4 linked regions of the Notamacropus eugenii genome follow. The protein of the gene in region 1 purifies or fractionates together with the protein of each later gene. This does not show direct contact. Links are inferred from orthologs where the notes say so. Each region holds a gene or a part of one and is shown on either strand. Other genes may lie near its edges. The genes, in order: SOD1, PRDX2, TKT and HEXB.

Region 1 (7,029 bases):
GTAAAATGTGAGCTGTTTAAAAATGGAGACCATTCTCTTTTTTCTTTGCATCTAGAGCACCTACTGGCATAGTAAGAGATCAACAAACACTTACTGAAATTAACTCCAGGAAGGGCGTCAAATGTGGGTTTTTCCTATTCTCACTAAGCCTTAAAGATGTGACTCTCCTGTATCAGCATTACTGTTGCAAAAAACACCACTGATAAAACCAACATTCACTAAGTACTTGGGCAAGCATATAATTTCTTTGATTTCTCTCTCAGAGAAACTATTCCTGAGAATGAATTTAAAGGCCCCTCGAATTTCTAGCAAAGGCTCTAAAAGACCAACATATGAAGCTAGAACAGTTTATTCTAGAGTTCGATACATTTGACAGTCCTGCCAGTTATGCCTCCAATCTCTCTCAAACATAGATCCCCCTCTCTGCTCATATTGCTACCACAGTAAATCAAGGTCTCACTAACTCTTCCCTGAATTTTTCTTACTATGTAGCTGCTCTGTCCTCATCCTTCATCCCAATCTAGATTGCTACCAAAATAATCTTATTAAATGTACAGTTATGACCTCATTTTCTTCTTACCCTTTTCCAAAACTTTCAATGGTTTTTTATTGCACAATAAGAATACAAGCATTTAAACCTCTCCAATCTAGTTATAATCTACATTTCTATCCTTATTTCACATTATTCCACTTCATAATACTAAGTTTTAAAATTTATTACTATCTATTTTCTGTGTTTTTCTGTAGACTGAACACAATTTCATCTGTGCCTTCTCTTCCTCAGGGCTCAGCTCTAGTACAACCTCCTCCATGAAGATTTCTTTGGTTTCCTTCTTCAGTTGAAAGAAAACTTCGTAAGAGCTACTCCCAAACAGACAAATGATCAAAGGATACAAAAAGGCAGTGATCCTAGTACAGACTTTGCTACTTACAAATTCATAACTGAGCAAGTCACATCCTTTACAACCCCTGAGTTTCCTAACCCATAAGAAGGGACCACATATTACAGATTTCTTGGTTCTTTTTTAAACTACTTACTATTTGTTTTAAACATTCTGAGTTCCAAGTTCTCTCCATGCCTCTAGTCCTGCCCCCACTGCTTGAGAAAGCAAACAGGATACCAGTTATACATGTGAAATCATGCAACATTTCCATGTTATTCTAGTTGCCAAAAAGAGAGACCACCAGTTCTGACTGCAGGTGGGTCGCTTTTTTCATTTTCTGTCCTCTGGCATTATCCCGGGTCACTGCCCGGAGCAGGGCAGCCGGACCTTTTCCAGTGGATCACCCCACAACACCGCTGCTTCTGTGTGCGGTGTTCTCTGCGCTCTGCTTCCTTCACTTTGCATCAGTTCATCCAAGTCTCCCCAGGTTTTCCTCCTCATTTCTTCTAGCACAGAAGCATGACATCAGTCACATTACCACAGTGTGCTCAGTCATTCTCCAATGGATGGCCATCCCCAGTTTCCAGTTCTTTGCCACCACGAAACAAGGTGCTCTAAGTATTCTTAGACCTTCTCCTTTTCCTTGATCTCTTTGGGAAACGGAACTAGTAGTGTGCGGATTTCTTGTGAAAATAGAACAGGGTAGGCAGTGCAAAATGACCATTCGGGACCGAGGAAATAAAAATCTCCCAAAAACTCAGACGGGGACGCTCGAGGACCGCCTTCTTTCTATTTCGATGAAGTCAAGAAGGAGGATGGAGAAGGGCAGGGAAGTAGCGTGACAAGACAAGACAGAAGAGAGCCAAGGAAGAGCAGGGCCCCCCGAGCCCTCCACCACCTGCTCCCCGCCACCCAGCACCCCGATGCTGCCCTCCCAGGTCAGCCCCGGGCAGACGGCCCCCTCCACCAGGGCTGCGCGCCCCGGCCCCGGCCGCTGCCGACTCCTTCGCACCGTTAGCCCTCCCTGGCAAGGCGGCGGCCCCGGGCCAGTCCCCGAGGTCCCCTCCCGGATCTCCGCTCTGGCGCGCTCTTCTCCGCCCTTATCGGCCGTGCCCCGGGGGCGCAGAGCGGGCCGGACCGGGAGAGGAGGGGACGTCGTGGGGATTCCCGGCCGCCCCGCTCCCCAAGCGGCCCCCAGGGCATGAGAGGGAGGAGACTGGAGGCGGCTTAAAGCCGGAAAAGAGGCGAGAGCGAGCTTTCCCTCTTCTCGGGGCCAGGCCCGGACTCCCACCTGCGTCTTCACCCTTCCCCGGCTCACCTGCTCAACCCCGGCCACCCCAGCTCCCTGCCACCTCCCACACCGCGCGGGTCTTTAACCCGGTCCCGGCTGCGCTGCGGGCCGGCCCCTGCCCTCCCCAGCGCCCCACTCCGGTCCGGGGGCCCCGAGGGTGCACACGCCTTCACCCCCGGGGGCGGGGGCGCCCCGTCCTCCCCACCCCGCCCCCCCATGACTCAGCACTCGGGCTCCGCAGCCAGCACCGCCAGCGCGCCCGCGGCTCTCCCCGCGGGAGCAAAGTCTCGAGGAGCGCCCCGCGCGGGCCCGTTCCCCCCACGCTCCGCCCCGCCACGCCTTCTGCGGCGGGGGCAGAGCCGGGCACGGCCGGGACGGCCGGCACTCCGGGCACCACGCGGCGGGGGCCGAGCCGCGGGGGGGGCGAGGGGGGAGGGTAAGGAGGGAGGCCCGCCGCGGCCCCGGGGAAGAGCGCAGGACGCATCCGCCCGCCCCTAGTTGTGCCCTTGCCTGCTTCTGCTCGAAGTGGATAGTGCCTTGGACGGGGCCGTCGCCCTTCAGAACGCACACGGCCTTCAACATGGCTCACGAGCGCGGCCCTTCCACGTCCGAGACGGATGCCGACAGGGAAGAACCAGATACCCGAGAAAGCAGGACGAGCACAAGAGCGAGGGGAGAAATGCCAAGCCGCGGGCTACGCAGCACCTCACTTAAGGGCACGCACTGCCGTCACTCCGCGCCTCCTGGCTCCTGGCCGACCAATCACAAGGCTCTTCCTATCAACACTCCTCCCGCCCTCCCCGAAGGCGGCCACCAATCAGGAAGGCGGCTCGCGCCGGGCCCCCCGTAATGCTTGGAAATCTTCGCCCTTTGCCCGCCTTCGCTTGTACTTACGGTAGAAAGCGCGAGAAGCCCCGGGCCCTTCTCACGAGGTCTTCCGCGTGAGAAGTGTGCCCTTCGCCCCCCTCTCGCCTCTCCCCTCCTTGGACAGCGGTAATCGATCGTCCGCTATGGCGCCTACTATCGCCTGTGACCGACAGAGCCTCTTTTCTTACTGAGCCCCAGTTCTAATGGGAGGGACCATAAGCACATAAGGATATATAAAATTAAAAAACCACAAACGCCAAGTAGTAACGGTCCTTGGGGAGCGAAGGCATTGGGTGGGGGAGGGGAAAATCAGAAAAGACTGTGTGCAGCTCGACCTCTGCCCTATAGAAAAAGAGGGATTCTGGGAGTCAGCCCTGAGGAGGGAGTGCACACCAGGCTCGGGGGACCGCCAGTGCAAAAGCTCGGAGAGGGGAAACGATGCATCCCGTGTAAAGAACATGGTTGGCTGGATCTCAGAGTGTAGGAAGGAGAGTCATACCCAGTCAGGCTAAGAGACAGGTTAGGGCCAGGTTGTGTAAGATTTTTTAAAAAGCTTAAATAATGTGTATTGTTTATTATTATATCATTATTATAGTTTATCCTTTATTATATTATTATATATAATGTATAGGTATGTTGTACATATACCTGAGTGTAATATGCATATTATATCCTTTATAATATTATTACATCATTATTATAGTTTATCCTTTATTGTATTATTATATATAATATATAGGTATATTGTACATATATACCTGTATGTAATATGCATATTGTATCCTTTATAATATTATTAAATCATTATAGTTTATCCTTCAGGCAATAGGAAGCCCGTGGAATTGTTTGCCCAAGAGTCACCTGATCAGGTCCTGAGCCCAAGGAAAAGTTACTTTGGCAGCATGTGCAGAACCGGCTTAAAGAGACATCTGAGGAAGGGACCTGTTAGCACTCATCTAGTGGAGAAGTGAAGGGGACCCGGACCAAGGTTGTAGCTGTGAGAGATGTGAAAAGTGGGACAGTGCCTGATCTGCCAACTCATCCATTAGATGAGGTTGAGGAAGAGTGTGGGTTCCAGAATAATAGCCAGGCTCCAAACCTTAAAGTCTTTGGGTTGGTGGGGAAAGAAAATGAGTTCTGTTTTTCCCACCTTGAGTTTAGGATGTCTCTGGGGTATCTAGTTTAAAATGTCCAGTGGACCAATTAGTGTTACAGCTCTGAAACTTGGGGGGCAGTTTGGGGATGGATTTATACAGTGTCCCCAAAAGTCAAAGAGCAGTTTTAAGCAGGACATATGGAACATCCTGTATATTTCAGTCTTCTATATAGAAATGATAGTTAAATCCATGGGAGCTGATAAGGTTATCAAGATAGAAAGTTATCTAGAATCCACCAGTGGTGTGCTGAAGCTGGCTCAAGCTACCAGCCCATGTTAACTTTTCAACGTAAGCACTTACACCTTGCAAAATGGCAAACACTACAAATCAGTGTTTGATTTATTGCTTTGTAGGATGACTAGACTTAAGAAGGGGATGGAGAAAATGTTAATAATGCAGGTCAAACTTAAAAGTGTGTCAAGATCACATTTTTTTCTCAGATGTTTTCTCAGTTGTTAAACGTTTACCAACACACCACTGCCTGAGCCAGTTCAAGCTGTAGCCAGCATAACCCTGAAACACCCTGCAACTGGAGGGTGTAATGTGAATAGGGAGATAACAAAGGAGACTGAGAAATGGTCAGGCAGATAGGAGAAACAACAACAACAACAAAAATCTAATGAAAATTTAGAGAAGAGAGAGTATCTAGTAAGAGAACGTTAGTTAACAGTGCCAAATACAAAAGATAGTAAACGTTTTTTAAATATGCTCTGTATCCCAGGCATTGTGCTAAATGCACAGTGGAGATACAAAGAAAGGCAAAAGATGGTGATTGCTCTTAAAAGAGCTCACATGTCTCAACATGGGAGACAACATGCAAACAGTTATTTGCCAACGAGCCATACACCAGATATATGGGAAATAATCAACAAAGGGAAGGCATAAGAATGAAGGGAGATCAGAAAAGACCTTTGATAGAAGGTGGGATTTTAGCTGGCACTTGAAGAACACCAGGGAAATTAGGAGGCAGAAATGAGGAGGAAAGACATCAAGGACGATGAGGACTGAGAAAAGACCACCAGACTTGGCGAGGAAAGGATCAACAGTAATTGTGGACAGAAAAATTTTAGTTGAGTGATGAAGTCCAAAGCTAGATTACAGAGGGGTGGGAAGCAAATGAGAAGAGAGGTCTTCCTTAAAAAAAAAAAAAAGATTGAAAAATACAGGAGAGATGAAGGTTTTGGGTTTTTTTGTTGTTGTTTTTAAGGGTGGAGGAAACCCGAATAAGTTTGAAAGCAAAAGGGAAGGAACCAGTAGATAGGGAGATGCTGCAGATTCAAAAGAGAAGGGAAAAGATTGAAGATGCATTCTGCTGGAGAAGATGTGAAGGGATAGGATAAAATACACATGTAGAAGTGTCAGCCTTCCTGAGAAGGGTCACCTCTTTGTCAGAGATGGAAGAAAGGAGAGAGTGGGAAATGATGCAAAAGTCAAGGTCCTCATCTGAGGAGGTGGAGTACAAGGGAGAGGTGTGGCAAGTTTAAGGAAGAAAAAGGTTTGGAATAGTTAAGTGGGGACTGAGATAGAGAATCAATTTGGGAGAAATAAAAGGACTGATTTGCTTCAGTGATGGTCCAGTTAAGGTTAGTTAACATGAATTTGTGGCGTACCCAATCAGCTTGCTTTTGAGACTCCCTCCTATTGCTTTCAGCAGCTAGTTAAGTAGGAGAGGTAGTCCAGTGTGGAGGTTTGGCAAGAGATGAGTGGCACCAGTCAATTTTGCTGTAACATTTATTTTGCAAACTCAAATTTGTCCCAATGCAATTGATATATTAAGGAACTACTGGAGCATAACTCGAATTCCACATTTGTTATATACTATTTTGTCTTCAAGAAACTCTAGGTGAATATCGAAAAAGGCATCCAGCTGAACTGAACCAGGTGGGAATGTACAAAATGCAGACACACACACAGCACTGTTAGCCTGCAAAATTGTGTTTTGCTATTTTTGTGTTGAACTTTTCTAAAGCAACCACAGCAACAACACCCCACACTCATTTGACATCTCAAACCAAAGTTCTGTATTTATTGTTATATCTTCTGGTGCAGTAAGGGTTGTGGGCAGAGGAGAGCCACAACACTCTACATCTCCTCTGCCCACTTCTGCCACCACTAAGGTCCCCTATCTTATGCACCCCACCTAAAGTCATGAACTCATCAGAGCAAGCAGCTAGGTGGTGCCTAGCTGGATGAAGTGCTGGATCTGGTATTAGTGAAGACCTGAATTCAAATCCAGCCTCATATACTTCATAGCTGTGTGAGCATGGGCAAGTCACGTAACATGTTTGCTTCAGTTTCCTCAACTGTAAAGTGGAGATAATTAAAGTACCTATCTCACAGGGTTGTTTTGAGGATCAAATCAGATAATATTTGTAAATCACAGCACAATGCCCAGCCTATAATAGAAACTATAAAATTGTTTATTCCTTTGCCAAGCAACACACGGACATACATGTCACCACTATTTATTCTTAACTATTTAACATGTATAAAACCATGCTACTTTTAAAATTAGGTTCCTTTCTTTTTTTATGTCAATTTGTGTTATGGCCCCATGCCATAATTCCCATAGGTGCTATGGTTTTTTCTTATTGATTTTGCATTGTGAGATGATTTTAAGGATGCATATGTCTAATTATAGACTTTAAAGAAGGAAAAGGACTCAAAAAAAGGGGGATATTGTAGAGTTAAAGTGGCTATTTATTGATTTGAAGCTAAAGAAAGATGCATTAATAAATCCTGTGTGGCAAAAATAAATGCCTCAAGAAGTTTTTTTTATGACAAATTAAAGAAACTAAAATTTAACTAAATTTAATTTTTTGAATTAACT
Region 2 (7,096 bases), on another chromosome or scaffold:
TCAATCCATAGGGTAGCCACCTTGGAAGTGGAAAACACACCCAAGGAAGAGTGGGGTAGGATAGGGAATACACAAGACTCACCTTCTCCGTGCTCGTCTGTGTACTGAAATGCTTGCACTAGTCGCAAAGCCTCATCCACTGATCGACCCACAGGCAGGTCATTGACAGTGATTTGCCTGACAAGGCCTTTAGCATCAATGATAAAGAGGCCCCTGAGTAAATGGAGAAGAGCTAGTATAAGACCCTGGAAGTCATCCAGGACTGGGCAACACCATGTTCAGTAGAAAGAAGACTAGATTTTAATTCCAAACCCATTCTTCTGCCACATCTGTAAGGGCTGAGACTTACTTTCTTTTGGGGGAAGTGTCTGGCTCCTAATATTCTATGTCCTCGATCACCTTCCCTCCCCAAGTCTGAATTCAGACTTAGTACTTGTATGACTTTATCTAAGTCCTTTCAACTCTCTCAGCCTCAGCTTTTGTTCCTGCAAAACAAGATTTGATAATATAGCCTCCAAGTTCTCTTCTAGTTCTAAAACCTTGCAACTCCCTGCTGTTTCTACGTAGTTCAAAGATTGTCTGTTTTCATGACTATAAAAGTGGGGGTGGCAAAAACTAAGAACCAGTCAGAATGGTGACTCCTAAATTGTTGATGATCAGGGACAGAGCAAGACATACTTACAGACGGTCCCCCAACCATACCTGTAGGCAATGCCTTCATCCTCCTTCAGTACCCCATAATCTCGAGCGAGGTTTCTGGTTACATCTGCCAGCAGGGGGATTTTCAAAGGACCCAGGCCACCCTGTTTTCGAGGGGTGTTGATCCTTTTTAGGGAGGTTGAGAAAGAAGTGTCCAAGTTACTTACCTCCATGGAGTCCCCTTCTCCCTAATCAGGGACTATCTTTCCTACTCTCCAAAGAAAGGAGCTATCTTCACAGCTCAGAGGCTCCTCCTCCCTTCTCCCCAAGGGCTTGAGCAACAGATTAGGGCTTCCCTAAGAGTCCTGAGTAAGTGATAAAGGGGTTGCAGGCAGGGCTGTCAAAGCCCAAACCTACCACACCCAGGAGGGAGTAGTAAGGCAGGAAGAGAAAGATGCTGTTCTCTATTTCTGAGGAAGATGGAACAGAAAGTACTGCCTAGTATGGTTGAAACAATCGACGAGTGGACATAAGGTATGAAGCCCTGAGTTCAAATGCCAGCTCTGGTACTTGGTGAATCAAAAGCCATTGCTCTTAACTTCTCTAAATCTGTTTTTTTTTCTTTTTCACATGATGGGAGCTGAAAGAAATGTCTTCCAAAGTCCCTTCCAATTCAAATTACTACAAAGGGACCCCAGCAACTCAGCTTTGGAAACCCTTTTGTTCCAATAAGTGTAGTTACAGGGCCACAGGATATTCCCTAGCAAAAGACAGGAGGTGCCAGCCAGTGACACTTCCAGTGGGAGAAGGTGGTAGAAGCACAAAGTCAGATAGGGCAGAGTTCCTTCTCCATCTTCCTTCTCCTAGCCAGAATCATACCAGGCCAGGTGAGTGAATTGGGAATCCACAGACACACCAAGGACTTCGCAGCCCAGCTGACGGAAATCAGAGACCCGATCACTGAAGGCGATGATCTCGGTAGGGCACACAAAAGTGAAGTCCAGTGGATAGAAAAATATGACCAGATACTTCCCTGGAGCGATAAGAATAAAAGGAGTGAGAAGCAGGTGCTGGGGCCCCTTCCCCTACCACTCTCCAGGTGATAGGATCATCTCCTCACACCCTGACTTCCCTCCTCCAGAGGGGAAGGGGCCAGTGTCTCTGACCTCTAAGGTTGTTATCTCTCACCTTTATAGTCAGACAGCTTCACCTCCTTGAAAGCCCCATCGACCACAGCAGTGGTATGGAAGTCAGGGGCCGGTTTTCCAATGTGAGCATTTCCAGAGGACATGACTGGAAAAAGTGATTTTCCCCTTAGGGTCAACCAGGGCACCTGATTCGCATTTCCCCGAGCTGTGCAACCCAGCACCACCTCCCTTCCCCCACTTCCCGAGGCCAGACTGGGCACGTGGGTCAGACAAAGATGGTCACATGCAGCCCCTATCCCTCCCTCCATGGGCTGAACACAAGAGACTTGGGCACACGGGCCAGACTAAGCTAGTCCCATAGGGAAAGGGGGCAATTCAGACCCAGCCCTCCTGCCTCCTCTGCACTGCTCCTACCCCACCAGGGAAACAGGTCTGGGCACCCAGGCACAGGCTGTAAGATCTTTCACCTCCTCCCAGGACCCTTAGTCAGGCTGAGTTAGGCCTCAAGAGCAGGAACAAAGAGACGTCTAGATTTCTCTCAAGGTTCAGTTTCCCTGCTGAGTAGGGGACAGGTGGAGGAGAATTCACCTGGGCTCTCAGTTCCTAATAGCCCACAAAGAACAAAGGCAGGGATGGGGGGGGCGGGGAGGAACGTTTCTTGCTCCATGCAGAGGGAAGGACCAGGACAGTAGCAGATTAGCATAGAACACAATCTGTCTGGATAAAGGGGAGTCACAGGCTGCCTCTATTGCTTCCCACTCCCCTAGCCTAGAACTGGCCCGGCCCAGAAGGACCTGCATCGCATTGTACCTTACCGCACCATGCCGCACTGCACCGTACTGTACCTGCAAGAAGGGCGGGCTCCGAGCCTACAAAGATAGCGCGTGTTACTAGACCGCAACAGTAGCAGTCTGGAAACCAAAAGCCGAATCCAAGAGGCCGCCGCCCGCGCCTTTTATCCGCGGCCTGTACCACCTAAAGCCAGACCGTGGGGGGGAGGGGGGGTAGAAGACGAGGAGGAGTTGGGAGGGACGTATGGGAACGAGCCTGGGGGAGGACGCGACACGCCTGGGCGGGCCTACTGATGCGTCGTGGGGGGTGTGGGGTGGGGGGCGAGAAACCTGAATATACCGAAGCTGAGGGGCGGGGGCCGCTGACCTCTTCCCTCCCCCTTGTCCACTCCTCTCGCCTGTCCCTCCTGATGAGCAGCTCGGATAACGGAGCGCAGGGAGAACCTTGGACCAGCGACTAACAGCGGTTCAGGGGGCTACTGAATAGAGAAGGAGGGGGCCGTGGATGACCAGACTGCCCCTGAGATTGCTCCTGCTCGGCCCCGAACCTGCCCAGGCCCAGACCATCACTATTTCGGAGAACAAGGCTCTGGGGATTCTTGGGAGACAGAACTGGGTAAAGAGTGAGATGCCTTCAACCCCCAGAGCCTCCAGACTTGATCTCCCCAGATGTTACACATCAATGAGCAGTAACTCAAGGAGTCTTCCATTGGTGGGGCGGGGCACGGGGAGCGTGCAGGTTTACTCAGAAGAAACTCAGAAGCACTCATATACAGTGCACTGGCCCTGAAATCGTACCCCTCTCCTTAGCAAAGATTTACAACCCCCCATCCCACGCACACGCACAAGTATACACATATCACCCCCCACAATGAAATCTGCCAGGATTTCTCCCCGGGTCCTATTACTCAATTCAACAGATATTGTTAAGACGCTTGGCATATTGGGAAGTATCCCAGTCAAGCCTGGAAATTTCAGATGGTAGAAGAAACCCTGTCAAGGTTCAGGCTCCCTGGCTGACTGATGTTTTCTTCCCCCAGAGCCAGGAGAATTGCCACTGGGTCCATGGGGCCCCTGGACCTGCCAGTGTCTCCTGGGAATTCAAGAGCGGAGGCAGGATGTGATGGGCGCATCTGCAGCACCTGTATTTCTGGACAGGGAGAGCCTCCTGCAGCACCAGCCCTGCAGTTATAACAACTGTCCTAGCAGCTCACCAGGCCAGTGCAACCGGAGGGTTTGAGGACACAGAGTGAGCATGGCCAAAAGCAAACTCCAGAACCCAGAGAAGGAGAAAGGAAGATAGAAAACTCAAGGAGACTTGAGGCCCTGTGTGTGTACATTACCATCCCAGCTGGGTTTGGGGTAAGGAAGAGAGAAGCATCTGAACTTGGGAAAGGGGTATCCTGAGAGGGAGGGGCCCTAGAGCTGGGGATTCCTGGGATGATATCACCCTTGTCTATCTGCAGCATGTGGGGTGCAGGTTTTCCCCTGAGGCCTACCCTACCCTGAATACTTTGAAGATCAGAATGTAATCATCTCTATTATTGCTGTTGTTATTAAAGATAATTTTAAACCTTGCGGTAAAGCCACTCCAGCAGGTCCAGGAAGATGCATAGCCACACCTACTACATGCCACAGCTCAAGGAAGAATCAACTGGAGGGAAGCCTACCAGCTTGGGCCTCAGGAGGCAGATCCTAGTTCTATGGGGGCAGGGCCTACTCTACTAAGAGAGGCCCTTAGTGCTCGGAGACAGCAGAAGTGGAAAAGATCATGTTTGCTGAGATGGCCTCATCCTAGTGGTGCTACCTTAGATTTTTCCTTATTTCCTAGTAAGGCCTTCAAATAGTAGTTCTTACTGCTGCTATTTTTCTGGAGGCCTGGACAGAAATGTTTGATCCGATGAAAAGAATACTAGTCTATTGTTACTGAGTCATTTCAATTGGGTCCAACTCTTGGTGACTCCATTTGGGGTTTTTTTGGCAAAGATACTGGAGTGCTTTTCCATTTCCTTCTCTTGCTCATTTTACAGATGAGGAAATTGAAGCAAACAGAGTTAAGTGACTTGCCCAGGATCACACAGCTAGAAAGTGTCTGAGGCCAGATTTGAACTCACAAAGATGAGTTCCTGACTCTATCCATGCACTTTATCCACTCCATTTGGACACCTAGCTGCCTCCCAGAATGAGCCAAAAGAACTGGTTTAGAATCCTAGCCATATTTAATAGCTTTGTGACACTGGGCAAGTTCTTTCCCTTTTCTGGTTCTCAATTTCCCCCTCCTGTAAAATGAGAAGCTTGGACTAGATCAATCCAATGAATGATTAGTCAATCAGTAAACATTTATTAGGGAGAAGCAGAAAATACAAACAAAAATGGAAGTCCCTGTCCTCAAGAATCTTATAGTCTATGGGGGGGAGTGTGTTTAACACATATGTATGTATGTAATACACATATAGCATATGTGTATATATACGTATGTATATAAAAAGTTAATGCAAGATTAATTCGTTGGAGAGAGGGTAGAAAGCACTAACAGAGTTAGGGAATCTGGCAGGATCTCATGTAGGAGAAGGTGTTTGGGCTGACTTGTGAAGCTAAAGATTCTAAGAAGTAAAGGTGAGGAAGGACCGCATTTCAGGGCTGTGTAAACTCAGGGGAGATAGGATAGGTCATGTGTGAGGGACAGAAGAAAGTAAGCCAGTTTGGATGGCTGTCCACAAAGTATAAAAAGCTTGGAAAGGTAGATGTCAGGTTGTGAAGGGCTTTAAATTGCAAAGGAGTTTGTATTTTGTAACTGAAACAATAGAGAGCCTCTGGAACTCTTTAAACAGGGCTGTGTCTTGGTGTGTGTTAAACAGGCAAATGACTTCTTGGAAACAGAGATCTTCAGTTAGTCAGTAGTCAGTCAAAAAGCATTGCAGATAGATAACTGGTGGATGATGATCAAAGGGAGGGAGCATCATGCTTAAGAGGAGAGATTGGATCGGATGGGTTTTGAGCTCCCTCCCAGTTCCTGAAATTCTAGGACGCACGGCTAGGTGGCGCTCTTGCTGATGAACTACAAGTCCCAGAAAGCTACGAGGACGAACAGCAAGTTCAGGATTGGCTTGGAGGTTTCCGGGGGCGGGAAGCCCGCCTGGATCCGCGCATTTGCGGGATCTCCCAGCCAGTGTCCAAGACCGCTTGGCTTGCTGCGAGCATGGATCTGGGGGAGTTTGAGCGGGACAACACAGGCAGCTGCCGTCTGAGCTCGCCGGTGCCGGAGCTGTGCCGCACCGAGGCCTGCTGCCTGGGCATTGATGAGGCCGGCCGGGGGCCTGTTCTGGGTGGGAGTGGGTGCCAGCGTGCTGGGGGAGGAGGAGAGTGGGGGTGGGGTTGCCCGGGGGTGAGGGTGGCCTTCGGGCTAGGGGGTATTGTTGCACCAGGGCTGTGGGGTGTATCGGTTGTAGGAGGGGTGGGCTCCGAGCCGGGGGCGGTTTGCTGAGGGGTTGGGGGTTGCCCCAAGGTGGGCACTTCTTAGGGGTGGCAAATTGCCTGGCGGTGGGCCCTGGTTGTTGAGCAGTTGGACCAAAGGATTGCTTCGGGGTTGGGCCGTGGTTGGAGAGTAGGTTCTGGGCTGTGGGAGTCAAGATCCGGGGTCTGGAGGCATCTGACTCTACCTGTCCCCTTTTGCCAGGCCCTATGGTCTACGGCATCTGCTTTTGCCCCTTGTCCAAAGTGGGCGCCCTGGAGGCTCTGAAGGTGGCAGGTGAGTGCTGCACGGATGGCTTTCCAGGGGCTGTGGGGTGAGGGGGTGAAAGGTGGGGAAGGATTGTGCCCCTGTGACTAAGCCTCTCCTCCTTGCACTTCTCCCTTTTCCACACTGCCAGACTCAAAGACCCTGTCGGAGGCGGAGAGAGAGAGACTCTTTGGGAAACTAGATCAGGCCCGGACCTTTGTGGGCTGGGCCTTGGACATTCTGTCCCCGAACCTCATCTCCACCAGCATGCAGAGGCGGTGAGAGGCTGTTTGTGGGTGGGCAGCAAATTGACTCCTGTGCCACTCAATGTGAGTAGGGGCAAGAACACTAGATTTCAGGGCACAGGATCTCAGAGCTGGAAAGGGATCTCGGGGATCATCTTCTAGCCCAATACATACCTCACCCAACATCCCCCTCCATGGAGTGGTCACCCATCCTTTGCTTGCCGGCTTCAAGTAGGGTAAAACTTACTCAACCCTGGCTGAGGAAACCCATTTCCCTTTTGTATAGCTCTAATTGTTAGAAGGTGCTTCCTTAGATTGACTACACAATTAAGGATTATTGGTTCAGAGCTGAAAGGGATCATAGAGGCCATCAACTTCCTTCATTTTACAGATGAAAAAGCATTTTTTCTGTGTGAAGGCAATGGAAGTTAAGTGACTTGCCTAGGGTCATGCAACTAGTTTCAGAGCTGGGATTTGAACTCAAGTCCTCTTGACTCCAGGACTGGCACTCTATCTACTCTGCCACCTAGCTGCCTCCAGACAAAGCACAGAGAG
Region 3 (7,983 bases), on another chromosome or scaffold:
AAGCTAAGAACTAAGTTAAACCTTACAGGGGTTTTTTTTAACTAGCATTTTTTTTCCAATTACATTTAAAGTCAATTTTTAACATTTTTCTTAACAATTTTGAGTTCCAAATTTTTCTTCCTCCATCCTCCCCCTTCCCTACAATGGTAAGCAATTTGATATAGCTCTATCTATTTATATATTACACGCTACCATGTAAAACATTTCCATACTAGTCATTATAACAGTCCGAACACTTACCTGAGGCTTAGATGTTCAGTGACTTAAGATCATACAGCTAAAAAAGGACCGAGATGTGAACCCGGGTCATCCTGACTCCTAGGCAGTCTTACAATCCTCACAAAAAATTAGAGCTAGGTTGATGGGGGTTTCTTGGGGGTGGGGGGGTTCCTGATGCCCACTCAGAAAGGGTTTTAACCTTGGAGGGCAGCTGAGGTTCTCTGGGGAGCAGGTGAGGGCGTAGCTCATAAATGAATAACATCACAGACGTGCGGAACTGCCCTGCATTCTGCCCAGCATCTCCCCTAGGACTCCTTAGAAATCCTGCCGGTAATTGGTTCTGACTGTTGGGTGCAAAAAGAAAATAAGCCGGTTTGGGCCCCCAGGAAATACATTCTTTGGCCAGTCTGGCATCCCCTCGGCATTCTTCCTCTAGTTTTTTTTCTTTCCTCTTCAGTTATTTTTTCCTTTCTCCCTGACGGGTAGAGCTGGAGTTGCCCTTGCAGGTCATCTAGTAGTCATTTCACTTTAATGAGAAGGGTGGGAGCCAGCCTGAACTGGGAAGGAGCAGCCAGGGTAGAGGCCAGGAAACCGGCCTCCAGAGATCAAGTCTGCAGTCGCTTAAAAGCAGGTCCGGACCCTCGAAGGACGAAGGAGCCAGACGTCTGAATGACAAAGCCTTTTGGGGGACACAGCCAACACTCAGTGGTTTTTGTTTGACCCTGAACTTGTTAGGAAGGCTGTGTTTTTTTGTTTTCCAATGGGGGGAAAGAGGGGCAGAAAATGATTGCTCATTGAAAAAAACCCGCAACTGTAGAGAAAATGAAGTCCGGAGAAGAAAGATGGTTTCCTTTCCACTACAAGTTCTTCTCTAATTATTTCCTTGGAGCTTTGGGAGAAGTCATTTAACCTCGTGGGTCCTTATTTGTAAACTCCTCGTAATCACATTTCAGGTACCACCCCCACCAGGGCCTGTGTATTGACTGCCTTTCAGCGATCCATATTTATCAACTACTAGGCATGTCTCTTGAGCTATGTGGGGCCTCAACTTCCCCAAATGTAAAATACCAATGTTCTTGGGTCCTTTCCTGTTCTAACTTGAAGACAACCTGTAACTGCACACAGACAAAAGATAAAAGTAGCCTCTTCATGGTCAGATCACGTGGTCTAAACCTCTGGTCTCCAGCCTCGACCACGTGCTCGGCCCTACCCCTAAACTCATCAGTGTGGCCAGGGAAAGTTGATCCGGCCAATCCTAAGGCCTGGGAGATAACCAGAGAAGGCCTCCAGGAGCCTTAAGATCACGGCTGGAATCTTAGGGGATCATATCTGCTAAATTCAATCCCCAGGGGAAAGTGAGCTTCCCCATACCCAGGCAGTTCAGTTTTCACCTTGGTCTCCGTATCCGAGTCCAGCACACGGTAGGACCTTGATCAAGGTTCGCGGATTGAGGTGGTATTTGAACTCCCTAACTCTAAAATGAACCTCCGCCTCCAGACCTACTTCGAATACACCACCCAGCCACACCCACCGTCCCCCCTTCTCCACAAAGTTGGTCCAAAGTAAAAGCTTACTGATTGGTTCGCAGAAGTAGGGATTGAAGGCTGGGCTTCAGACTTCAGATGTCATTTTTCCCACGTACAGCACTCTACCCCCCATCACTGCACCTCCACCCGCCAAGCAACCTTTCTGCCTAGGAACGGCCTTGGGCCTTTGGCCTTCTCCACCCAACTTCCCGCCATCACAGACTACACCGACCGGGAGGGGGGCCCCCAGCTCAGTCCGGCTGAGCTCAGTCTCCACCCCACTACAAGGGCCCCAAGCCTGCGGGGATCTGACTAGGGATGGGGGCGAGGAAGGACAGGCATGTTCCAGCTCCCATCCTGGCCCCAGTCCTCCTTGCCTCTGTCCCAGGTCACCCGGGACGTGCCTGGCCTCCTCAGGGACTTTGCCCAGGGATGGGCGGAGCCAGCCTCGGGTTCCGGGCGGGGATCTCGAGCTCGGGAAGGCCCCGGCACCCGGAAAGGCTGCTCGGACAGCGCCAGCATGGCCACAAGGGCTCTCTCATATGGGATCCATAGCACGCCCTCCGCTCCCCAAGCCGGATCAGCCCCGGGTTTGGCTGCTGCAGCCTCTGGAGCCCGCAGCCCCAGCTTTCCCGCCGTGGGACCTGGAGCCCGATGCCCACACTCACCCCGATCGCGGCCCCGGCTGCAGCAGCCCACAGCCAGAGTTCTTGCCCTCAGCCTTCCCCTCCCCCGGCCGGGGGCCCGATGCCCACACTCACCCCGATCGCGGCCCCGGCTGCTGCAGCCCCACAGTCCCACAGCACCCAGCCTTCCCCTCCCCGCACTCCCTCTAAGTGGGAGCCCGTCTGCTGCAGCGTCCCGAACCCGTGCCTTCTGCCTTCCATGCCCGCGCTCAACCCTCATGCAAGAGCTTGGGCTACAGCGGCTCCCCCGTCCAACCCCCGCTTTCCGTGCCTGGGTCTGGGGGTTGGGAGCCTTGACTCACCCCGATCCGGCCGCGGTGGTGGCTTGGATGGAGTTGATGCGCAGCCGGTTGGCGGTGTCCTTCAGTGCCTGCAGTTTCTGTTGGTCCGGCTTATGGTAATCCTCCATGGCGAAGCGGGTTTGGCGCGGATCCCGAGCCCAGTACGAGCAGAGAAGGGGAGACGAACAGCCAGGAGGAGGGCGAGAAGGAGGGTCAGCCCAGCGCGCCCTCTTATGACCAGGCCTACCTGCGGGAGGAGCTGGGGACGTGGGCAGGGGCACGGGGAGGAGAAAGAGGAAGAAAGGCAGGAGGAGGAGCGAGCCTCAGGGCCGGCCCCTGCCGGGGCCACGCGGGGAGGAGTGGCAGAGATCGGTGCTGACCCTGTCTCACGCACGCACGGTCCCTGGGCTGCGGCCCCCATCCTCACCCCTACCTGTCCGCCCTTCTCAAGAGCTCCCAGAGCCTTGAACACTAGCTAGGGCTTTTTACCGTGGAGGAAACTGGTCCAGGAAGGCCCACACACGCTCTAGAAGGGCCCACGGAGAGTTGTGGGGTGGCACCCTGGGCTCAGTCCAGAGCTGGGGGAAGGGATGGCTCCCCCCTCCCCACCCCCACAGAGACGCTCCTGTTTTCGCATTTGCTTTTGCAGGGGCCTGGTTGCTTCCTAAGTGTGGGGAAGCAACATGGGTATGGAATTCTGGATGTGAAGCCCAAAGATTTGGGTTCAGAAGAACTCAGATGTAGACCTGGAGGAGTCCTAGGAAGGCTTCCAGGTCAAACTTCTCATTTTCCAGGTGATGCAGCAGAGGAGGCTAGAAAAAGTGGAGTGATCGCCTAAAGTTCCATAGGCAGGAAGGTGAGCAGGCCAATTTGAACCCAGGCCCAAGGCTTCCAGAACTGGACTCTTTGTATCCTCTTCTGCCATATGCTAGCTGTTGGCTCAGCCTTCTCCCTCTGATTCCCCAGCTGGACTTTAGATAATCTAAAAGGTGACTTTGGGCTCAAGAATCTATGACCCAGTGCCATACACTTACTCAGCATTGGCAGTAGGCCCAGACTGTTCCTCTTCTGGAGATGTCCTTTGAATGAATAAGCATTCCTTGCTTCCAGGCCCCTGCAGCTGGCCTGCCCTGGGCTTCAATGGTGCATTAACCAAGTTTGCATAGTGGCTTTACCAAGAGGGTGAGGGGAAAGGCAGGGTCAGGGCTGTGCCTTCCTCTCATAAGCCCACTGAATCAAAGGGTCTAAGAATTGAATGGATCCTTAGACATCATCTAGTCTCTTTTACAGAGGGGGAAACCGAGTCTCAGAGAAGGGAAGTCACTTGCCCAAGGTCTCAAGTAGTGTATAGCACAGAACTGGGGTTAGATGTCAGTCCCCCTGACCACAACAGAGTTCTTCTCACTACATGATATGGACAAGGGATTCCAGGTTCCTAACTTTTTTTTTTGTAATGTACCCTTTGGACAGCAGTTTGGCAAACCATGGAGGAACTCTTGCTCAGAATCATGTTTTTCAATGTGTAAAACAACATACATAGGATTCTGAAGGAAAACAATTATATTGAAATACAGAAAAAAAAAATTCACAGACCTTACAAGGAAGGAGTAAGCTCCCCATCTTTGGGAGAACTTCAAGCAGAGGGTAGACACCCAGTTATCCACTAGATTGCAGAAGAAACTATGTCTGACTCTTCATGACCCTTTTTGAAGTTTTCTTGGCAAAGATACTGCATTGGTTTGCCGTTCCTTCTTCAGCTCATTTTACAGATAAGAAAACAGAGCAGGGTCAAATGACTTGCCTAAGGTCACACAGCTAGCAAATGTCTGAGGTCACATTTGAACTCAGGTCTTCCTGACTCCAGGCCCTGTGCTCTATCCACTGTGCTACCTAGCTGCCCATTAAAGTTCATGCTAGCTCTAAAATTCTGTTTTTCTGATAGATGTTACCCGAAGACCACCGTGTTTGTTGTAACCACTGAAGCAGAAGCCATATGCTCCCAAACAGAAGGCTCCCCCTAAATCTGGGGACAAGGTTAAAATGTGCTGTGAGAAGTAAGAAAGTTGGGGTTGTGACCTAGCATGGACAGGTTAGAGGTCAGAAACTAATGCGCAGGCCCAAGGAGGTGTGTGAAGAAGGGCCTATCTGAGAGGAGAACACTGAGTCACATGGCCAGGGGACAGTATCGGGGAAATCTGAAGTTCAGAATTCTATAAGCGTCGTGCCTCATCCTGGCCCAGTTGTGGTCCTTCCAGTGACCATGCTGGAAGCTACCCATTCCTTCAGGGGAAGGAACGTAGGCTTTCCCTACTCTGAACTCCATTTTAAATAAATTTTTCTTGATACCTGTTTTTGTATGTCAAGCTCATCTCTAACATGTGCCAAGTAAGAATCAGTATTAGATAGGTTAATGAGCTGTAGAAGAATCCCACAGATAACTCTGGAAAGTGGTGCAATCAAACCCCTTACTGTACAGATAAGAGAGTTATTTGGAAAGGTCTAGTAATCTGCCCAAGGTTATTATTATTAAGTTAACAGAGGGTTAATGGAAGACCCTGGAGAGGAAATTAAGATTTTCCTAGTCTCAATGCAGGGCTTTAGATGGTTTGAACAGGACGCTGCTATGTTTCCTGACTCTTGGTAAACAGGGGGTAGACTACTGGTGAGGAATGAGGCATACCTTTGCAGATGTCTGTTAATTAGATTTGCTTGACCATATTTGTTGTTGTTCTTGTTTTCCTTCATTCTCCTTCTAAAAGAGGATCTCATCATCAGGAAGGTGATGCTATTTGCAAGTGAACTGGATTTAAATGAGAGAGCTTTGTGCAAAGTCACCAGCCTTACTTTTTCCTCTGGGTCCAGTGGCAAGATATAGATCAGGAAAACTGGACATGGCCTTGCATGCAGTGGGAGATCTTGACTTTTTTAAGATAAAGTCTTTCAGAGTTCTCACTTTGACTGAGGCAACATCCATTCAGTGATGAAAGCTAGTTAAGAAATGGGCCAAATCAAAAAATAAATCAGGGAGGGGAAGACCCACTGGGTTTCTGGTTAAAACAGAAACCTTTACTATTTACATTCACTCTGATCCAATCTGGGCTCAAACAATGACCACTAAGTGGTGCTTGGTCTGGGATCCGTTCTAGTCCAATTATTGAGAGCTAGAATGAATTGGGTTTAGGCATGGTCTTTAAGAAAGAAATCTCGTTAGTAAACACCTAGATTTGTCACTAGGTTTCAACCATCAAAACTTACATTCCTTTGGGTCAAGCACCCTCATGCCCCATGTGGACTGAGGGAGAGGAAAGAGGGAAGGGAAGGGAAGGGGGAGAGAGGAGAGAAGGGGAGGGGAGGGAAGGGGAGGGGAGGGGAAGGGAGGGAGAGGTCCTGAGTTGCCCAGCTGAAACTGACCAGTTAGGTAGCTTGTGCTACTCATAGGTTGTTGTTTGTCCTTCATTCTTGAAGACATGACATCAGGGAGGTGATGCCATGACACATAAGTGAATTAGAATGAAATGAGGCAGGGCTGTGCAAAGTCACCAGCCTCAATTTTTCCTCTGGAGCCATCTGGATCCAGTGGCCAGATATTGATCTGGATGACTGGAGATGGCTCCCTTCACCATATTTATTTGTTACAAGAAGGTCTATGAAGAGGCAAAGTATAGGAAAGTCATTGGGAGGTGATAATAGTGGTTTTTAAAAGACTATCAATAAAACATTTGGGATTTTTGCAATTTTAAAATTTACTTTTAACATCCATTTTTAAACTTTTGAGCATATAGAATATTTTAAAAGGACAAAAAAGGGAGTTGCTGATGAGACATGGGCATCTCCTAATGTCCCATCTGAGCGATGCCAATCTAAAATGTAGCTAATGTAAAAGAAGCTATGATCTAGTTAATTATTACATGTTAAGGGAAGGCTGCCATTAATGAGTGAGATGAGGAGCTTCCCAATCTAAAAACAGAGTAAAAGAATTCCCATATGTCAGGTGTTTATCTAGAAAGCACAGGCTCTGAATCCCAGATAATAATTATCTAGCACTTTAAGGTTGGGGCATTTGGTTCCATTAGGATCCCTATTTTACAGAAGAAGAAACTGATTCAGAAAGAGAGGGTAAGAGAGTGGCAAGGCTGGTAAGGGTCAACTGGGGGCCTTTTGAAGTTCAACCAAGGAACCAGTATTTCTTTTTCCTTCTTCTTGGGTTTTTTTTAAGGAAATCAGGGTTAAGTGACTTGCCCAGAATCACACAACTAATAAGTGTCTGTGCTCAGAATTGAACTCAGGGCCTCCTGACTGCAGATCTCTATCCACTGCACCACCTGGCTGCTCTGGAACAAGTATTTCTTAAGCCACCCCACCCCACCCCCACCCCCAGTATGTGCTAGGGCAGCACTATGCTGGGTACTAGACCAACAAAGACAAAGAATGATCAATCCCTCCTCACTGGGAGCTTGCTTTGTAATAGGAGAGACAGCAAATGCACATCAAATGCAGAAGCACAAAGTTGCTGAATCTAGCCATTCACACATAAAGTGGTTAATACAGACAGACACAGATGCACACAAAGTAGTTAAGCAGAAGATCTTTGGAAGAGAGAGCATGAATGATTGGGGCCATCAGGAAAAGCTCCCTGGAAGAGGAGGTGCTTGTCTCACTTTAAAGGAAGATGGACTGTGTGAGGTGGGGTGAGGAGGAGATCATTTCTGGCACTTTGACAGCCAGAGCAAAGTCACAGAAACAGGAGGTGCAGAGGCCGCCCCAGGCCAGGTCTAAGTGTGTAGTGTCCAGTGAATCTGAAAAGACGGATCTGGGGCCAGCTCATGAAGGGTTTTCAAGGCTAAACAGACAAGTTGATGTTTGATTCTAACAGCAATAGTAAAGCACTGGAGTTGTGCTTCTGGAAAGTTCCTCAGGCAACAGTGTGGAGAGTAAACTGGAATGGGCAGAGCTGAGAGCCATCAGATGGCCCATTCCCATGTCTGAAGTCTTGGACTCAGAAGTCTTCCAAAAGAGGGCAAAACCTGAGTGGGCAATGAAAAGAGGGCTAGCCTGAGACCCCTCCTTAAACAAAGGCTTTGGAATTCATGGCTCCAGCGTTCCGTCAGAGGATCAGAGGGTGCTGAAGAGGTAGCACTGAGGCCTTGCAGGAGTCTGGAACTACCTTTACTGGGATCTAGCTCTTGCCCTCAAAACTGGTAGATTTCAGTTCTGGAATGTCCTTCAATATGAACATTCAGCCAATGACAGAATATTTCTCTTTTCTGTGTC
Region 4 (7,272 bases), on another chromosome or scaffold:
TGTAAATTAATTAAATACTTCATGGATGAGATTATGAGGTAAATTCTCTAGGTCAGCCAGCTCTCCCTCCTTTTTTTTATTTAAATACTACTATCATAGCTTGCTCAGGTTCCAGTTTTTTGTTATCTAATTTATAAATCACAGAAATCAGCGATCAGTAACTCAGAGGTCACCCAGAGTCTGCCTAATCTCTGAAGCACAAACCTCTCTAACATTCTGGATGTGTTCTGGAAATTATCTAAACTTCCCCAAAAGGCCTCCAGGGATAGGAATCTCCCGACTGTCCCAGGCAGCCCGTGTCTTTGAGTCAGGTCAGTTAAAGGAGAGTTTTCCTTGAGCCAAAACCTGCTTCCCTTTTAGTTCTCACTAGCTGGGGCTATCTGCTGGAGCCAAATAAATTTAATCCTACTTCCATGTGCCAGCTCTTCAAAGAGTAGGCGTCTCCTTCACATCAATTTTGTTGTCTATCACTATAGCATTATTTTGGTATGTCACCAATTTAATGTCTCTCTTAAGTATGATGAAATACCAAAAGGCAGATAGTAGAAAGAAACACAAGGTGAGAGGACCTGAATTGAACTCCTTCCTCTGACATTTCTGATTACTTGGTTATAGATAAACTGGTTAATCTAAGTTTATTTAGTCTTCTAACGGCAATTGTTTTGCCTACAGTGTTTACATATATTTAGATAAGGAAAGCCCTTCAAGTCACTGTAGCTAAGATAACAAGCGTTGCAACCCTATGCTTTTCAGTAATTCTCCAATTCCAAAGGTAGCTGAAACCTAATAGTTAATTTTACTTTTTACAAAATCTTATAGGTCTTCATATTTTAAGAGACTGAAGCTTCTCTCCCCTCAGCAGTGTCTCTTGCCTTTCAAAACTCACAGGTTCATACTCAATAAGAACTGTAGTAGTCATCTGATTGTCCCATGGAAGGAAAAAAAATACTAGTTTGTCCCAGAATGTGTTTGTCCTTTGTTCTTGAAGAGGACCAAGACATCAAGATGATGACATGACTTGCAGTTGACTTTGATTTGAGTGAGGGAGGGCTGTGAAAAGTCACCAGCCTCACTTTCTCCTCCTGAGCCATCTGGGTCCAGTGGCCTGATATTCATCAGGATGACTGGAGATGGCCCAGGATGCAATGGGAGACCCTGGCCCTTTCAGCCTAAGGTCTTATCACATTCTTACTTTGTGTGAGACTCAATGAATAAGCTTCTTTAAGTTACTCAAGGGGTGGCCCCTTTAACAACAACAACAAAAAATCAAACTGGGAAGGGAAGACTCTCAGGGTTCCCGGGTAAAAGAGAAACATTACTATTTAGTTATTACATTCACTCTGTGCTGGGTGGGTGGGGACTTCTTGTCCAGTCTATAAGCTCCAGAGTGAATTGGGTGATGTAAGCCTTCTTACAGATTCCCTCTCAACACCAAGTCATCAAATTCTTTCTCTGATAAGCAAAAGGGGTCCTTAGCAAGAAAGAAACAAAAGTCCACTGGGCTGGGTGGTGCACACCTGCAGTCCCTGTGGATGAGGAGCCTGAGGCTGGAGGATCCCATGAGTTTGGGAGATCTGAGATGCAGAAGGATGAAAGCCTGTGGTATCCACAGTAATGACACCAATGTGGTGGCCCTGAGGAGCAGAGGGGTGAGCCATCTCAGGTGAGAAAAACAGAGCAGGGTGAAGTCTCTCTGCCAATCAGCACTGGGACTGGGCCAGTGAGTGGCTGATGCCCTTCCAGTCTGAGTGAGATGGGGAAACCCAGTCTCCAAAACAAAACAAGACAACAAAAAGCCCCCCAAATAGTTCTCTTTCTATTCTAAGCCAGTGTTTATGTTGACCCAGAATACAGAAGCAGGAACACGATAAACCCTGAAGGACCCCTCCTCAATTTTCTTATTCAGAGGACTAGAGATTTAGGGCAGTAGGCAACCTCGCAGGCCATCCTCCTTCTAGAGATTTGACTTGCCCACAGTCCCACAGGTTAGGAAGTGACAGAGAAGGCCCTTAAGGGAGGCCACCTGGACTCTCTGCTTTCTCCCACTAGATCCAGAATGTGGTGTAATGAAGCTTTTCAACACACTTTATCTACTACCTGAGTTTTGAAGGCCTTTCTCCCACTTGCCTCTTCAACTTATCTTTATAAAATCTTTCCAAGTTGCTGTTGCTACTTATTTCACAGGCTGCAGAGAATCACTAGCCACTGGTCCGCACAGAGGACGTGCATTCAATCTAGCACCTCTCTCAAGACTATCCTCAACAGACTGCTGTTCCCAGTTTTCAGGGCTCGTCCTCACCCTACCCTCTCCCTCTTCTCAGGCTGGGTCACATCTTTGCAGTGTCACACACCTCCACACACTGCCTCGAAAAACCAAGTTTTAAAAAAGGCTATTTGTCCTCACAGGATAACAACCCATCAGGGCTGGAAGGGGCCCTCATTTTACAGAAAAGGAAACAGAAGCCATACAGGTTAAGTGTCTAGTCCGGGACTGGGATCTCGGGCTGCCCTGGAGAATCTACGGAACAGGGGCTGCGTATCCTGCGCACCCTGCCACAAAAACAAGCAGCACCGGCCCCAGCAGTTTTCCCGTTCACTTCCAGCTCTGGAGAATCGGTGCAAACCTCGACTCCCCGAGGACGGGAGGCAGGCACCCGGAAGAAGGGGCATGGGGGATGGGTTCTTACCGGCGGAAAGCCTCCTCCAGCAGAAAGCAATTGGAGTCCTCGAAAGAGTGGGGGCCGTGAGCGATCTCGAAGCTGTCGGGGGACAGGTACAGCACCCGGGGTGACTGCTGCACGGACGCGGGCTGGGGCCACAGAGCCTGGCGGCGGGCGGCGGCCAGCGGGGCCCCGGGTCCGAGCAGCAGAGGCAGCAGCCCCAGCAGCAGCGCGCTGCTGGACAGCACCGGGAGCGTCATGGCCAGGCTCGGCTGCTTCCTGCAGACCCCGGCTTCTTATCCTGCGTCCCCGGGGAAGCTGAGGCTCGGGAGACGCCCCAAGGCCACCCCTTCCCTCACCCGGCCCCGCCTTCCTCACGTGACCCATCTCGTGTCCCGCTGGCCCAAACGGGAAGCGGGCCGAGGGGGCCTGGGGCTGTGTGTGGGCCTGCCTGGGCACCCCGGGGGCGCAGCGCCTTCAGCGCCTTGGGTGCCGGAGGATTGCATCTGAGCAGTTGTGAAAAGCAGCTGAACCCCGTGGGCACAGGGCGAGGGCCGAGGCACCAAGTTCTAGCCTAGACCCACGCGGGCTCGGAGGCTTTGGCGGGCTCCCAGGCCATTATATCAAAGGTTCGGATCTGCACAGGTGGAGTAAGACGCTCACCTGATGCTCCATACGCGATGAAGTCACATCTGGTTTAAAAAACAATTGACCAGGCACTGGATTAGGCGCTGCGGGTGGGAAGGTTCGCTGGACATGCCTTCTCTACCTGTTTACGCAGCCAGCTGCTGCGCCAGCTCTTAGGGGCTTTTCGAATGGTCACTTAGGCAATCTGGAACTGCTACACACCCCTGCTTGATTTATTGCTTTGTTGATTGTCTAGAAAAGAAAAGCAGAACAAACTTAAGTGGGCTGCGTTTACATTTTTTCCCTCCCAGAGCCTGTTTTTAAGCATTTATCTGCAGATCTCTGCTTATGTTCCACTGTTGAGTAGAATTGTCCTCCTGACTTTCTCTGCTGGAAAGGAAACTAGTCATTTTCCAAACACATTCTTGATCTGCTTGCTTTTTGTGTTCCAGGCCCAGGCCTGTCACATCCTTCTGTGTATTGTTGATAGGATTACGTTCGTTTGGTACCTGAAAGGGCCTAAAAGGGCCAGGGTCTCCCATTGGATCCTGCAAGTCATGTCACCATGTCCCTGATGTCATGGTCCTCTTCAAAAACGAAGGACAAACACAACCTAAGAGTAAACCGAGTTCCCTTGAATGGGGACCCAGCTAGCTGAGTAACTCAGTTCCGCCAGTTCCACTCTCCAAAGGGAGGTAAATTTTGATGGCCAGGGTTTATTGGCTAGATTCCCTCCCCTCCTCTCCCCTCCCCTCCCCTTTCCTTCCCATCCTTTCCCTTTCCTGTCCCTCCAGTTCACTCTGAAGCTCAGATATTCAACCGCAATAGATCCTGCCCAAGCTCCACTTAATGCCTATTTTTTGGACCCTCCTGATTTACAGTGAATGTCAATGGTAACTGTTACTCTTTGGAACAGCAACCCGGAGGGTCTTCCCCTCCCAGCTTGATTTTTTTTTTCCTTTTTTCTAATTAAAGGGACTATCCCTCACTTACTTCTTAAAGAGGCGTATTCATTGAAAGGGAGTTACCTCACTCAAAAGTGAGTAACTGAATAGGCCTGAGTCGAAAACAACCAGGATCTCCCATTGCATCCTAGGTCATCTCCAGTGGTCCCGATGACTATCTGGCCACTGGACCCAGATGGCTCAGGAGGAGGAAGTGAGGTTGGTGAACTTGCACATCCCTTCCTCACTCAAATCAAAGTCAACATCATCTCCCCAATGTCATGGTCCTCCTCAAAAATTAAGAAGAAACACAACATCTGGATGGTGATTTCTGACTCTCATTTCCCCCTCCAGAGCTATCTGGAAGACTCAGCTCAAAATGCCACTTCCTCCATGAAGGTTTTCTAGTTCCAGATTGTTCAGAGCCACAAAAGACCTTAGAGCTATATCATCTATAATCCAGGCTTCTCATCTTATAGGTGATAAAACTGACACCTAGAGAAAGTGATTTGTTCAAGGTCATGCAGCTAATAAGTAACAAAACTAAATTCAAAACCAGGTCCCCTGACTCCAAGTCAGTGTTCAATGACATGGTCAGATCTCCACCTTAGGAAGATTATTTTGACAGTTTAAGATAGATTAGAATGGGGCATAATGAAAGCAAGTAAACCAATTCGGAATGTAGAGTGGTACAGGTAAGAGGTTACAGGGGCCTACCCTAGGGTGATAGAAGTATAAGTGGAGAGAGAATGGACTTGAGAGAAGGAAAAATCAGCAAAACTTGGCAATTCATTTTGGATACGGAGGGCAAGGGCTATAAGGAAGAACTGAGAATGATTCTGAAGTTATAAACTTAGGTGACTGGAAAGATGGTGTCTGGTACATAGTAAATACTTGATGAATGCTTGCTGACTGACTATTGGCACCCTCAACAGAAACAGAAAATTTTAAACGAGGAGTAGATTTAGAGAGGTGAAAATATTGAATTTTGCTTTGGATATATGTTGAATTTGAGAATCCTACAGGATATTTAGGAGAGTTTTAGTCAGAAGATGATTTGAGATGCTTTCAAAAGATTAGGACTATATATATAGATTTGAGAGACATCTGGGTAGTTATAATTGAATCCAGGAAAATAGATAAAATCTTGGAAAGCAGAAGTAGAGAGAAAGAGAGAGAGAGAGAGAGACAGAGAGAGAGAGAGAGAGAGAGACAGAGACAGAGGCAGAGAGAGACAGAGACAGAGACAGAGAGAGAGACAGAGAGAGACAGAGAAAGAGGCAGAGAGAGAGAAAAGGGGACCCAGGACAACCCTGGGTATATACGAGGGAAGGGGCGGGGTAGATAATGCACTAAAGGCCAAGAGAGCAGGAAATATCTAGGAGGAAGTAATGGTCAACAATGCAATTGGAACATTCTTTTTAAACCTTTTTTAAATGAATTTAACAAGCATGAACATTTTCATACACAGAGAACAAAAAAAAAAGGACTACATGTGAAACTATGAATCTATTATGTAGCTTGATTTGTTTGTCTGTGTTTGAATTTTTTTTCTTTTCTGTGTATTTTGAAATATTTAATTGATGCTCCTTTATTTCTTTTCTAGGAACTACTAACAGATGGCTTTTCTTTTTTTGGTAAAGTAGGTAAAGAGTGACTGCTGAGAAAGGAAGGCAGAGGTAGGAATGGTGTTGGGACTATGAATTGGAAAAGGAAGGTTTGGAATAGCTACTGTGAGTCATATTATAGCATCAATCAATGAAGACTAAAATTATTGCTGTGCAGCAGTGAGTGTCCACTTGAGATTCAATATCATAAGTTGGTCATGTACCCTGTCAGCACTTCTCCAGTAGCATTCTCCATGAGGTGGGAGCATAGAAGGCAGTTAGTAGATGTGATTCAGGACTGAGGATTACCGAAGTCTGTATAAGGGAAGGCAAGTGGGCAAAGGAGTCAAGGGTGGAAGATAATGTACAGTACAATGAGTTAACAAGGGGGTCAAGACTTGGAAAGAAGGAAAGTAAGGCCTGTACAGGGATCATGGGGTGAGGAGAAGAAAGAAAAGAGTGAAGGTACTAGAAGTCACAGTAGAGATGAAGAATAGATGTAGGAGGAGAGAGGTAGAGGGAGAGTGGGAAGGCCAGGATATGATCAGAGAGGGGAATTTCATAACTGAAAATGGTGGAGCTGGCACCATGGAGGAAATGGAAATTGAAGCTATGACTATCCTTGAGGTAGAATGAAGTTTTAGGTCATGAGAATTGAGGAAAATGATGAACTTGGTGGCCAGGGTGTTTGAAGGACCACCAACACATATGTTGAAGACCCCAAGTAAGAGGGAGAGGAATATGGTAAGCCAGGCAATGAATTCTCTGAGAAAGGAAGAAGAGTAAGCAGTAGATTATAACCACTGGGGTCTGGAAGAGGGGAGATACACAGATGGCAGGAACCTTGTGGCCATTGCTCATCCTTCCTGCTCAAAGAGGAGCAAGAATATCAAGAAGTGATGTCTTCATATATGCACCAGTTGGACGTAAGTTAAGCAGGGCTGTGCAAAGGCATCAGTCTCACTCTTTCCTCCAGAGTCACTGAAATTGTGTGGCAAGACAAACGTCAGGATGACTGGTGATGGCCCTGGGATTCAGTGGGTGACCTTGACTTTTCTAAATGAAGATCTTTTTTTTTGGAGGGACCCTTAAACAAGAGGTTGCTGAATGATGGTGGCAGAAGGAGAATTTGGACATTATTGTGGGAACAAAGAGTATGTTGTCTCCTCTTAATCAAGAAAGGAGCAACCAGCACTAGAAAGAGTGGCATGACCAATACTCAAGTCAATAAACATTTGTTAATCAGCTACTATGCTAAGTACTGCAGACACACATAAGAAGTGTGTGTGGGGGCACCCAGAGAGTACTCTGCAAACAGTATCTTCTAGAGAAAGCCAAGTTATCCTAAGTGTGTGAACAATAGGAGGATGTTTTCACCTCTGTAGACAATAACTGAATCCATAGGCTTAGGACGTACTTAGGAAGTTAAGACCT

The links.
Region 2: the proteins of SOD1 (region 1) and PRDX2 fractionate together in Homo sapiens (co-fractionation; 3 studies listed by BioGRID, with this or other methods). This does not show direct contact. The link is inferred for Notamacropus eugenii from reciprocal best matches to the Homo sapiens genes SOD1 and PRDX2.
Region 3: the proteins of SOD1 (region 1) and TKT purify together in Homo sapiens (affinity purification with mass spectrometry; 3 studies listed by BioGRID, with this or other methods). This does not show direct contact. The link is inferred for Notamacropus eugenii from reciprocal best matches to the Homo sapiens genes SOD1 and TKT.
Region 4: the proteins of SOD1 (region 1) and HEXB purify together in Homo sapiens (affinity purification with mass spectrometry; 3 studies listed by BioGRID and IntAct, with this or other methods). This does not show direct contact. The link is inferred for Notamacropus eugenii from reciprocal best matches to the Homo sapiens genes SOD1 and HEXB.

Annotation. Positions count from the first base shown.
Region 1 is NC_092876.1:422,104,698-422,111,726, forward strand, and holds the start of SOD1 (superoxide dismutase [Cu-Zn]), read right to left. Parts: upstream 3,020-7,029; 5' UTR 2,758-3,019; coding exon 2,686-2,757; intron 1-2,685. UniProt on the Homo sapiens protein: Destroys radicals which are normally produced within the cells and which are toxic to biological systems.
Region 2 is NC_092875.1:78,124,459-78,131,554, reverse strand, and holds the start of PRDX2 (peroxiredoxin-2), read right to left. Parts: upstream 3,012-7,096; 5' UTR 2,633-3,011; exon of another isoform or gene 2,629-2,632; coding exon of another isoform or gene 2,609-2,628; exon of another isoform or gene 2,598-2,608; intron 1,933-2,597; 5' UTR 1,931-1,932; coding exon 1,828-1,930; intron 1,673-1,827; coding exon 1,519-1,672; intron 826-1,518; coding exon 703-825; intron 214-702; coding exon 83-213; intron 1-82. Other genes in the region: THSD8 (thrombospondin type-1 domain-containing protein 8), read left to right, coding at 2,609-2,628, 3,061-3,194, 3,619-3,818; RNASEH2A (ribonuclease H2 subunit A), read left to right, coding at 5,778-5,904, 6,255-6,326, 6,448-6,574.
Region 3 is NC_092874.1:478,488,752-478,496,734, reverse strand, and holds the start of TKT (transketolase), read right to left. Parts: upstream 3,011-7,983; 5' UTR 2,841-3,010; coding exon 2,734-2,840; intron 1,819-2,733; exon of another isoform or gene 1,794-1,818; intron 1-1,793. UniProt on the Homo sapiens protein: Catalyzes the transfer of a two-carbon ketol group from a ketose donor to an aldose acceptor, via a covalent intermediate with the cofactor thiamine pyrophosphate.
Region 4 is NC_092875.1:467,785,291-467,792,562, reverse strand, and holds the start of HEXB (beta-hexosaminidase subunit beta), read right to left. Parts: upstream 3,021-7,272; 5' UTR 2,921-3,020; coding exon 2,688-2,920; intron 1-2,687. UniProt on the Homo sapiens protein: Hydrolyzes the non-reducing end N-acetyl-D-hexosamine and/or sulfated N-acetyl-D-hexosamine of glycoconjugates, such as the oligosaccharide moieties from proteins and neutral glycolipids, or from certain mucopolysaccharides.